Linked DNA regions of Drosophila melanogaster. The protein of the gene in region 2 interacts with the protein of the main gene of each other region in a pairwise test. Each region holds a gene or a part of one and is shown on either strand. Other genes may lie near its edges. The genes, in order: CG15546 and Srg3.

Region 1 (4,493 bases), on a different chromosome or scaffold from region 2:
TTTTGTGAAAGGAGCTAGGGGCAGGGACCTGCGAATGCCCCAGCCCCAGCCCCAAAATGGGCTGGCCAGGTGAGCTGCCCAGAGCAACGGACTTGATTGCCAGACTAGCAAATTGTTGGGAATTTCAAATGAGTCGATAAAGAAAAGCCGCGCGAAAGGGTGCCTCGAATTACATTACGGTCTATGAATTACATACTAGATCGATTCATAATATTGCCAAACAGATTACAGGCCCATCAGTGAGCTTGAGGTATGAATAAGTTTCTATTCACACAATGCACACAATGAATAGCTGCGTTGTATTCATGGCAAGCCTTTCCAAGTTCAATGTGCGCCTGCTTTCGATTACCTCGATATAAATATATAACAACTTGAACTTCACTCTCTTTCATTATTAGTTTGAAAACTGAATACCAAACGAATTGATTAAGTGCCCATGTATATTTTTCTGTGCCTATAGTAGGTTTTTAAGGCTTAATTGAATATTTCCCGATTCGAAATTTATTTGGTTATATATGTATTAGTTTATTAGCATATCTCTATCATTATAATTATAGATTTTTCTGCGTTGGCTTTAAAAGCTAAATTAATACATGATCGTGGTGCACAACAACAGCATCGCCGACAAATTAGTCAAGATCAAGGTTTGTTTATGTATGTATATTCAACCGCTCGAAAACAACAAAAAAGCCGACTCATTCATTCGCATGTGGGTGAATTCAGAGTTTGTATGGGATCGTAAAAGTAAAAACTAAAAAAAGGTTGAGCTGCTGCTGTCGCATCAACTTGCTGCTGATGTGGCTGTTGTGCTGCAGATGTTGTTGCTGCTTCTGTTGCAGTCGCTGTTGGCTTTCAATTAGCAATGCAGATTGTTGCTGTCGACTTACTACATAGAGAAATATTTGTAATACTATTTCATCCTAATGATTGTCAAGCAGATATTCTTGTATGATCTTCTTCATCGCTTCAGTTATATGTTTTTGCACTTGCATTTCTCACTGTGTAGCTGCACTAATCACTGAACACGCGAACTGGAGCCCTCAGTCCGGCAGACCCACGCTCACTCTCTGCCCCGCTGAGCTGCGACGCGCCTGCGCAGTGGGCGGCGACTGCGACGCCGTACCGCCCACCATCAAAGCGTCGCCGCTGAAGCAGAGGCTGCTGCGCAGGTGTTTGCGAGGGTCAGAGGGCACGGGGGGATCTTCGTCGATAGTGTGTGTGTTACCCACTCCGGATTGGGTCTGTGGCATTTTTGGAAAGATTTTCCTACCATTGCCGTTGGCCTGATAATTATTATTATTATTTAATGGCTTGCTCCGACTAGTTTCCATAAAAGAGCGTTGATGTTGCTGCTGCTGCTGCTGCTGGCGACTTCCTGTCGGCATATTTGGCTGCTGACGGTAGCGAGTTTCGTAGGTGGGCTCCTCACGATCCTCGCGATCCTCCCGATCATCGCGATCCACCCGATCATCGTAGTAGGCGTACTCGGCAGCCTCCTCGTTGTAGGTCACATGCTTTTTGGGCAGTCCGGGACTTCGGGTTAGTTGCAATCTTCGGACTCGACTTTCCAGATGGTCGTACGGGTCCTGATCCTGTGACGTTTGCTTCAGTATCCTTTTGGGCAGGGGCAGTGGGCGTGGCCGCCGCCACTCGGGACTGTCGTTCAGGGGTTTCTTGGTGACCTTGGGCTCCAGTTCCACGCTGAAACTGCGCACATTTCTTTTGACCTGCAGCTTGGGACTGTTCTTGGAATTCAGTTCCACTTCGCGCTTGTCATTCAAGTCCATTTGTGGTCTCCTGGCGTTATTTTGAGTTAGGTTATCTGCTTCGTTTACATAATCGTAGAACTGGATCTTGGAGCTGTAAGCCTGCTGGCGACGGCTGCTGGTGTCCTCAGCTTTGTTATCCGATTCCTGCGGTCTCACTTCGGTTAGTTTTGGGGTTATTTCTCTGCGTAGACCCCTTGCCAATGAAGGTTTATTTCCAGGATTAGACTGCAGATTATCATAGAACTGTATGGAAGAACTGGCAAACTCCTTGTGAAACATTCGCCGTGTGTCCACTTCGTCGGATACATTCTGATTGGAAGTAATCCTTTCCACAGGCCTCTCCAGCTGCTGGCTGTTTCTCCTCTTTGCTCGGGTTTCCACCGCGGAATCCGCTCGGGAATCGTCTGGCCAGAAGAAGTGCGACTCCTGGCGATTGCACACCTTCACCGCCTGGCGCTCCACCATTTTGGGCGGCAAGCCCGTGTAGAATTTTCCGTTCAGCATGGTCGCCCAATCTTCGCCGGATTGGTGGTCCACTCGACTGATCGGAGACTGGTCCGCAAACCGACTGACACAAAAAGAATCCGTCGGAGGCCGGAGAGCACATAAAATGGCTGAGATGTTGGCGTCGCCATCGGCGTTGTCATTTGTCGTAGGCGTTCAGTTTCGTTTGCTCAGGTGATCAACCAGGCCCCAGACTAATTTGCGATTCTTGCGAAAAATAACTCGAGAAGTGAGTAAAAACGAGAGTTTCTGTGTTTATAAACTTTTGGATACTCTACGAATTGGAAATATACAGCATTTAATTATATTTCCATATTCGATTTCTTCGAAAGCAAACAGTGCGCTGCATTCACTGCAGGCAGTTTGGAAAATGACACACTTGTTGGTTTTGGTTTTTAGCCTCTCGCAAGATTTTTGAAAATACATTATACCCTTTTGCAAATTCTTCGAGTGACTTATTAACAACAAACACAAACAGCATCGAGGCAAAAATTTATTTGCTGCCAGTGCAGCGTGGACGTTGGCAGCGAAGTCGACGGCGCAGCGGCAGAGACGAGTTTCCATCTAAGGTCAAACCAAATCGCGGCATTTTTCACTTTTGGAACGAAAAGTTGATTTTCGTGAGCTCAGCGTTGACCAAATGTTTTGGTTTTTACTTCGCTTTTGGCCTGTCCGTTCGGACTAAAAAGCCAGAATGCCGCCAAAGTTGGCCGACCAAGAATAATAAACGACAACAGATGCCAATTATTGGGTGCTTTAATGGCTTCAACTTCAACGTACTTTTGGCCGCAAGTGAGTGTCACTTGAATGATGCTCAGTATGGCCGACACTGCGTATACGTAACATTACATGGCTGAAAGTTGAGAGGAGCTCAATACTCTGACACAATGTCGTGAACAATGCACTTTGAAAAGGAAAAGCGAAACACCAGTAAAACATACCAGTGTTTATTTAATTAAATTAAATTTATTTTCTCTTGATCTTTACATGGTTTGCCATTGGAATGGAGTGGGGAGATGTGTGGGGAGCTTTGCTGATGGACACTACTACTGCTACTTATGTTTTGCTTCCATTAATTCATTTTATTTGGTTTACCTCCCAGGCTGCGTTTTAGTCGAAGACGTATTTGGAGTACGTAATAAGCTTAATGTACAAACAATGCCATAGAAACACATACAATATCATACACGTTCGGTTTGCATACGGGTCTATGTGGGGATACTACTCTGGAGGGTCTGAAATTGCGAAACGGCGAAGTGGCATATCTATATATCTCAGTGTGGTGGCTGCTCATGTAGATGGGTACCATATACGTTCTGCGGGGGGATATGTTAGGTTGCTTAGACTACGTTTGATTTTGAGTTGACATCGCTGACACGGGGATCTATGCTTTATAACCTGACATTTACAAACTTTGTTTTTTTCTTTGTTTTTAGTTTTTAGTTTTGCTGGGTAGTGTTGTTAAACATATACTTAGGGTTGCTCTCGGCTGCTTAAGACTTTATTTACAATTCGTATTTATAGCTGATTGGCCAGTCAGTTAGCCTTTCTCTTCGATGGTGCTTACTGCTGCTGCTGTTGCTGTTGCGGCTGCTGCTGCTGCTGCTGGGGGGGCAGCAGTTGCATCGGCGACATTACTATTATGTTGGTGGCTCCTCCGGCTGCGTGGCCATAGTCCAGCGGCTTCTGCATCGCCTCCACATCCAGATCCGGGGCACGGGTAATCACGCAGTACTGGTTCCCATTGTACGTGACAATGGGCATGCCGTGCTGCATGTTGCTGGCGTGCTCGCTCAGCTGGGCCTGCATATACGTGGCGGCCGTCGGCGAATTGGCAATGATGTGCGACACCGGCACCGACACCTGGATTTGCAGGGAAAAGGGGTAAACGGAAGGGTAACAGAATACAGAATGCGGAAATGGTGAGTTTTTTTTTTTGGTGTTCAATGTTGCTGTTGGCTGTTGGTGTTGCTGTGGTTTCAGTTCATTTGGTCTGTTTAATAGGTAGTTACTTCTTGGCTTTGGTTGTTGCCGTTGTGGTTGCTACTACTATTGTTATTGTACATAGGCGCACTGGTCTGTTGCTGCTGCTGCTGTTGCTGTTGCTGTTGCTGTTGCTGTTGCTGCTGCTGTTGCTGCAGATGTTGCTGGTGTTTTCTGGCTGCCTTCTTTCCGTGGGCCACGTGTTGCTGCTGCTGCTGTTGGTGCTGCTGCTGTTGC
Region 2 (5,919 bases):
CTATCAATGTAAATGCGTAAATATCAACGCATATGCGTTGTATTTGTGGAAAATATTACGCTTTAACCACATATACACACACCCCCGCTTCCGGTGGGTGTTTTTTTTACGCTGGAGGGGGGAGGGTGGTTTACTCACCTATGCGCTGGCCAACTGGAGTGGAGAAAACATTTCCCAAGGCGCCAACGTTGAAAAATGAAGCCATCGTGGAGAAGTTTCTTATTAATGCTCGCCGTTGGGTTGCAGTGCGGTTAAAATTGTTCTTTATTTACTTTTTGTTCACCTGGATGAAATGTTTATGCACTTGTCTACAGCAGAGTGACCATGGCTGGCCTCAGCGAAAAATACCCACAAAGAAATGCATTACAATAAGTGGGTAAATAGGAATAGGTTTTTTTCCAGGGCTGCAGCATTTTATTTCATTTTATTTAAAAGAATTATCCACAGTTTTTGAGATAATGACATAGTTATACCCGTTACTCGTAGAGTAAAAGGGTTTATTAGATTCGTTGAAAAGTATGTAACAGGCAGACCATATAAAGTATATATATTCTTGATCAGGATCAGTAGCCGAGTCGATCTGGCGATGTCCGCCTGTCTGTACGTTTGAACGTCGAGATCTCAGGAACTATTTAAGCTAGAATGTTTAGATTAAGCGTGCAGATTCCAGAGACATAGACGCAGCCCAAGATTGTTGACCCATGTTTCCATGACCACTCCAACGCCCACATTAGATTGTTCTTAGTTTTATTGTTCACCTTGCACCTTGCACCTTTTGGATTGTAATCACACCCACATCTTTAAACAATTTTAATTTTTTCTCATTTTATTCGCAATCCGACTAGCTGAGTAACGGGTACCTCATAGTCATGGTTGTTCACAGAGCGTGTTATGTATCTCAAAAACTTTGTAATTTCAAAGAGTTATTTCACAATTCATTCCACAGATTTCGTGGATAATGAATTTTCGATTGTTCAACCTTGCACCTGTCTCAAAAATGAGCTTTCCGTCAGCGGTCCTTCTGACGGTACCGCTGGCGGTCCCACTGATGGTTCCGCTGATGGTCCCGTTGATAGCCCCACGGACGGTCCCCTTGACGGTTCCGCTGACGGTCCCTTCGATGGTTCCGCTGCCGGTCGTGCTGACGGCCCCGTCGACGGTCCGGCTGATGGTCCCTTCGACGGTCCCGCTGAGGGTTCCGCTGAGGATCCCGCTGAGAGTCCCACTGAATGGCATTGGAACGAACTCGTTGATGACCAATCCAATGACGGTCGCGCTGACGGTCCCGCTGACGGTAGCGCTGACGGTCTGGCTGAGGGTCCCGCTGAAGGCTCCTCTAGCGTTCCCGCTGACTTTCCCGCTGACGTTCCCGCTGACGTTCCCGCTGACGTTCGCGCTGACGCTAACGCTCCTGCTGACGGGCACGTCGTCGGTCTCGCTGTCAGTGATCTCCATGTCGACGGCCCAGATTTCCGAGGACAGTTCATAGGATTCGTCCTCTGAAAGAAGAGAACGTAGGGTATATTAGTGAGTGAGGCTTTGAGACTTATATTTTGATAGTCCCGACTTGGTTAGTCGGCTAAACTTCTCTGTTCCAAGACCCATAATCTTAAGCCCATTTAGATCTAACTATAAGTTGCATGATTCTTACAGAATATTGTGTTCTGACTATAATAGTCATTATCCTATTATCTGTAATCTTTGCTCTCTGCCGCTCTTAAAGCAATCAATCAAATCAATCGGTGCATTATTCACAAATACGACGCAAAATTTGTTTTTGGTTAGATTAAGGAATATATGAGTTAGCGGTTCCAACAGGCTGATAGGACAAATCATATGCCTCGCACGTAGGGTATAAACTGAGAAGAAACGTGTTTTTCCCCGGAATTCTTTGCGACACATACAGTTTGTCAAGAAACTGTTTACACACTGTGAAATAAGTTGAATTTTTGACTTTAAAGCTAAAAATAAAGGGTTTTTTGCTTAATTAAACGCAATTTTTTTATAAAATATAATTAAACAATATTTATTTTACTTATAAATCAAAAAACAAATTAAAAATATTAAATATACAAGAAAATAAACAACAAATTCCAAGTTTACACACTTTTGAGACTGTCAAGAAACTCTTTACACATTTTGTTTTCCTACTTTGTTTTGTTCTTTTTCTTAGAACGAACTCGATTTTTCCGTTATTTTTGGCTTTACATTGCTTTTTACAACGCTTCTATTGAAATTTGTTGACTTTGCTTGTGAAATTTTGCTGATCAAACGTGCTTAAAGCGAATTATTAAATTTAATAAAATGCCTGGAAAGAGATTAACTTTTGAAGTTACCCAATTAATAAACTATAACCACCAGTTGGGAAAATCTTTTCCAGAATTAGTATAAATGTTTCCTGTATCCCGTAAGACCGTCTACAATGTTTTAAAAGGCTCGGAAAAAGAGGGCAGGCTTGAACCTAAGAGTGGTGGTGGGCGGAAAATTAAAATTAAAAAGCGTGTAGACCGCTTTATTATGCGAATAGTGATTGCGAACCCCCGAATCTCGGTCAGATCACTTGCTCTGGATATCAGGCAAGAATGTCACCTAACTGTGTCACACGAAACTGTGCGCCAAGTCATCCTACGCCATAGGTACTCTTCAAGAGTTGCAAGGAAAAACCCTTTGCTATCAGATGCCAATATTGAAAAGCGTCATTTATTCGCTATGAGCATGATGGATCATGCGGAAGAGTACTGGGATGACGTCATATTTTGTGACAAAACAAATATGATGCTCTTTTATAACGACGGGCCAAGCAGAGTATGGCGCAAACCGTTGAGTGCGCTAGAAAAACAAAATATCATTCCAACAATAAAATTTGGAAAAATGTCACTGATGGTTTGGGGCTGTATCACCAGCCGTGGAGTGGGAAAACTAGCCTTAATTGAGAGCACAATAAATGCCGTGCAATATCTAGGAATTAAAAAAAAAAATTTGAAGGCCAGTGCAGAAAAATTTGGTCTAGTTAGCAACAACAAGCCAAATTTTATGTTTTACCAGGACATGATAAGAAACATAAAGAGTGCAATGTACGCACCTGGCGCCCTTATAACTGTGGTAAAGTGATCGATACGCCCCCTCAGAGTCCTGATCTGAACCCCATTGAAAATTTGTGGACCTACTTAAAGAAGAAGGTGGCAAAAAGGGACCTAAAACACAACAACAGCTTATGACTGTAATAGTCGAAGAGTGTGAAAAGATCCCGTTTGAATATGACCTGCAAAAACTTGTCCAATCCATGAAAAAAAGGCTTCAACTTGTAGCTAAAGCCAATGGGGAACATACTACATACCAAAACTTTTAAAATTTTAATAAAATAATTAAAAAATTTAGGTTTAAACTTCGATTTAGTGTTTTGTGTAAAGAGTTTCTTGACAGTCTCAAAAGTGTGTACACTTGGAATTTGTTGTTTATTTTCTTGTATATTTAATATTTTTAATTTGTTTTTTGATTTATAAGTAAAATAAATATTGTTTAATTATATTTTATAAAAAAATTGCGTTTAATTAAGCAAAAAACCCTTTATTTTTAGCTTTAAAGTCAAAAATTCAACTTATTTTACAGTGTGTAAACAGTTTCTTGACAAACTGTATGTATGTACACTTGCCACACTTTTTGGTGTTGTAATTATATCTTTCGGATCAGAAACCTCGCAATTTACGTGGCATTATAATTAAATATATTATTATTATTAAAATGTAACGAACATTATCCAAAATAAGATACAAATTGAAAAAAATACGGAGAACTAGAGTTCACTAAAATTATTAAAGGTTCCATAGGTTTCATACCTATGGCCCTAATATTGGAGGAAATATTTCCCATTGCGGTGGAGTTATTTATTATAGTTATTTTCACTGGTTATTTTATGTTATGGTATTTTCACTGGTGGAAGTACGGAGACTGAATGATATATGTTCTGCAGCCATGCAATATATATAAGTACAATTTATTAAATTTTTTAATCTAACATTGCTGTGGTGAGTATGGGGGTTGGGTCATAGCGTTTAGTATAAGTATTTTAAGTTAAGTACTTTTCTTGAGTGACATGGACTGGTAACATTAACATATGGCACAATATTTTAATTATTTTTACAAATAGCATTTAATTTTAAACTAGCATTAATTTCTTTTTATATTTTTGGATACCCCGTCAGAAGGACGAAAGCACCGGAAGGACAGAAGGACAGGAGTCATCGCCGGGGATAAATTGGAGTTTTGCAGCATTTAAATATAGCCGACTGTCCCACCCACTGTCCCTCCCACTGAAATCTTAATGTTGCAGATCTATTGCAGAAATCTTATTGTTAATAAAGCGGTTCATGACATGGATTGGTTGTGGTATTGGTACTAAAGAGGGCGGATCTTAAACTCCTCCCACTGTTATGTTATTATCTCAAAAACAGTGGAAAATTTTTAATGATTTTTTAATTTAATGAAATATTCCTGAAATGTCCTTAAGGTCTGAGGAGTTAAGGTTTGAGGAGGTCTAGCGTGCAAAATGTTGGGGAGCCGATTATTCTATCGCATTATTTTTTTACTTTCTTGAGCCCTATAAGTAGTACATAGATAGTTAGATCTGCCATTTTGAAACATTTTTGCATTTTTATTCTTGGGAATTTACTCCCAAATAACGTTAGCGCAAATTTATTAATTAATGTATTTATTAAATAAATTTATTATACTGATAACATATTAATATAGCAAAAAAAAATACGTTTTTGAATATATGTGCATTCTTTTTAAACTGCTGCACACATTTATTATTTTTTTGGACTCTTACAATACTTTTTCAAAAATTTTAAATATAACTGCGACTTTGAGCGATACTTTCACTTTTCCCGTGACGCCAACCGATATGCACAGCGCTTGCAGCCCTGGCCAATTTTGATGTGTTTCAGCATTGTACCCTGACAACCCTGCTCTGTAAAACTAGGAAAAACAGAAAATTTTATTTTCAATTGTTAAATATCCAAACGTAAACAGCCGGAAAATGTCACGACAAGCCTCTCGTTTGGACGCCAAGAAAGTGGTAAGTTGGCCAAAGAAGAGAGAACAGCGCAAGATCGGTATCGTTAGTCATTTGGAGGCATAGATCTAGTTGTAAGGTTAGATTTGTGCCATAGTGCCTAAGAACGAATCTTTGACGTGCCATCCACCCTCAAAATCGGCTTCATTCACTTTTCCAGTAAGTGTGTGTGTTGGGGGCTTGAGGTTGAGACACGGACACACAGACAGGCACAAGCCGACGTGCAATCAGGCAATGGAAAACCATTTCAGCGCCACCAGTCGCCCCTCAGCCACGCCCAGAATGTGCACCACCGCCTCTGCCGTCGGTGCTGCCGCCAGCGCCGCCGCCGCCGCCGGCAACAACAATAACAACAGCAATAGCAGCAGCAACAACAACGCAACAACCGGCAACAATTTAAGTGTTAGCACTGCAGCCGGAGGAGCCACAAATGCCGCAGCAACGGCACAACCCATCCAAGTGATACCAATGCCCATGCTGCCCACCGGAGCGGCGCAAATCATAATTGGCCAGCAGCCACAGGGTCAGGCGACGGCGACGGGTCTGCAGCCACAATTGATACCGCTGCAGGCCAACCAGATTATGCTGCAGGCTGCGCAGCAGCAGCCACAGATGCAGGTGATGCAGCTGCCCGATGGCCAGACTATATTCTATCAGACGCCCACCATTGCCGCCTTGGATCCGAATGCAGCGGCCAACGCCGCAGCTGCCATGGCAGCCCAGCCGACGCCGCACTACCTCAATATCAATGGGCAGCTGGTGCAGATCAATCCAGCACCGAGCGCTAATCAGGCGGCACCCACAGCTGGGCAACAGATTATAATGGTGCCGCAGACAGCGATGGC

What was found.
Region 1: the proteins of Srg3 (region 2) and CG15546 interact in a two-hybrid assay, tested with the Drosophila melanogaster proteins (one large-scale study listed by BioGRID).

The regions. Positions count from the first base shown.
Region 1 is NT_033777.3:30,873,862-30,878,354, forward strand, and holds CG15546 (uncharacterized protein), read right to left. Parts: upstream 2,326-4,493; 5' UTR 2,274-2,325; coding exon 1,041-2,273; 3' UTR 504-1,040; downstream 1-503.
Region 2 is NT_037436.4:9,441,282-9,447,200, reverse strand, and holds Srg3 (Sting-regulated gene 3), read right to left. Parts: upstream 3,970-5,919; 5' UTR 3,871-3,969; coding exon 3,837-3,870; intron 1,500-3,836; coding exon 916-1,499; 3' UTR 813-915; downstream 1-812. Other genes in the region: CG3529 (uncharacterized protein), read right to left, coding at 139-205; Nf-YA (nuclear factor Y-box A), read left to right, coding at 5,309-5,919; Bet3 (blocked early in transport 3), read left to right, coding at 5,039-5,077.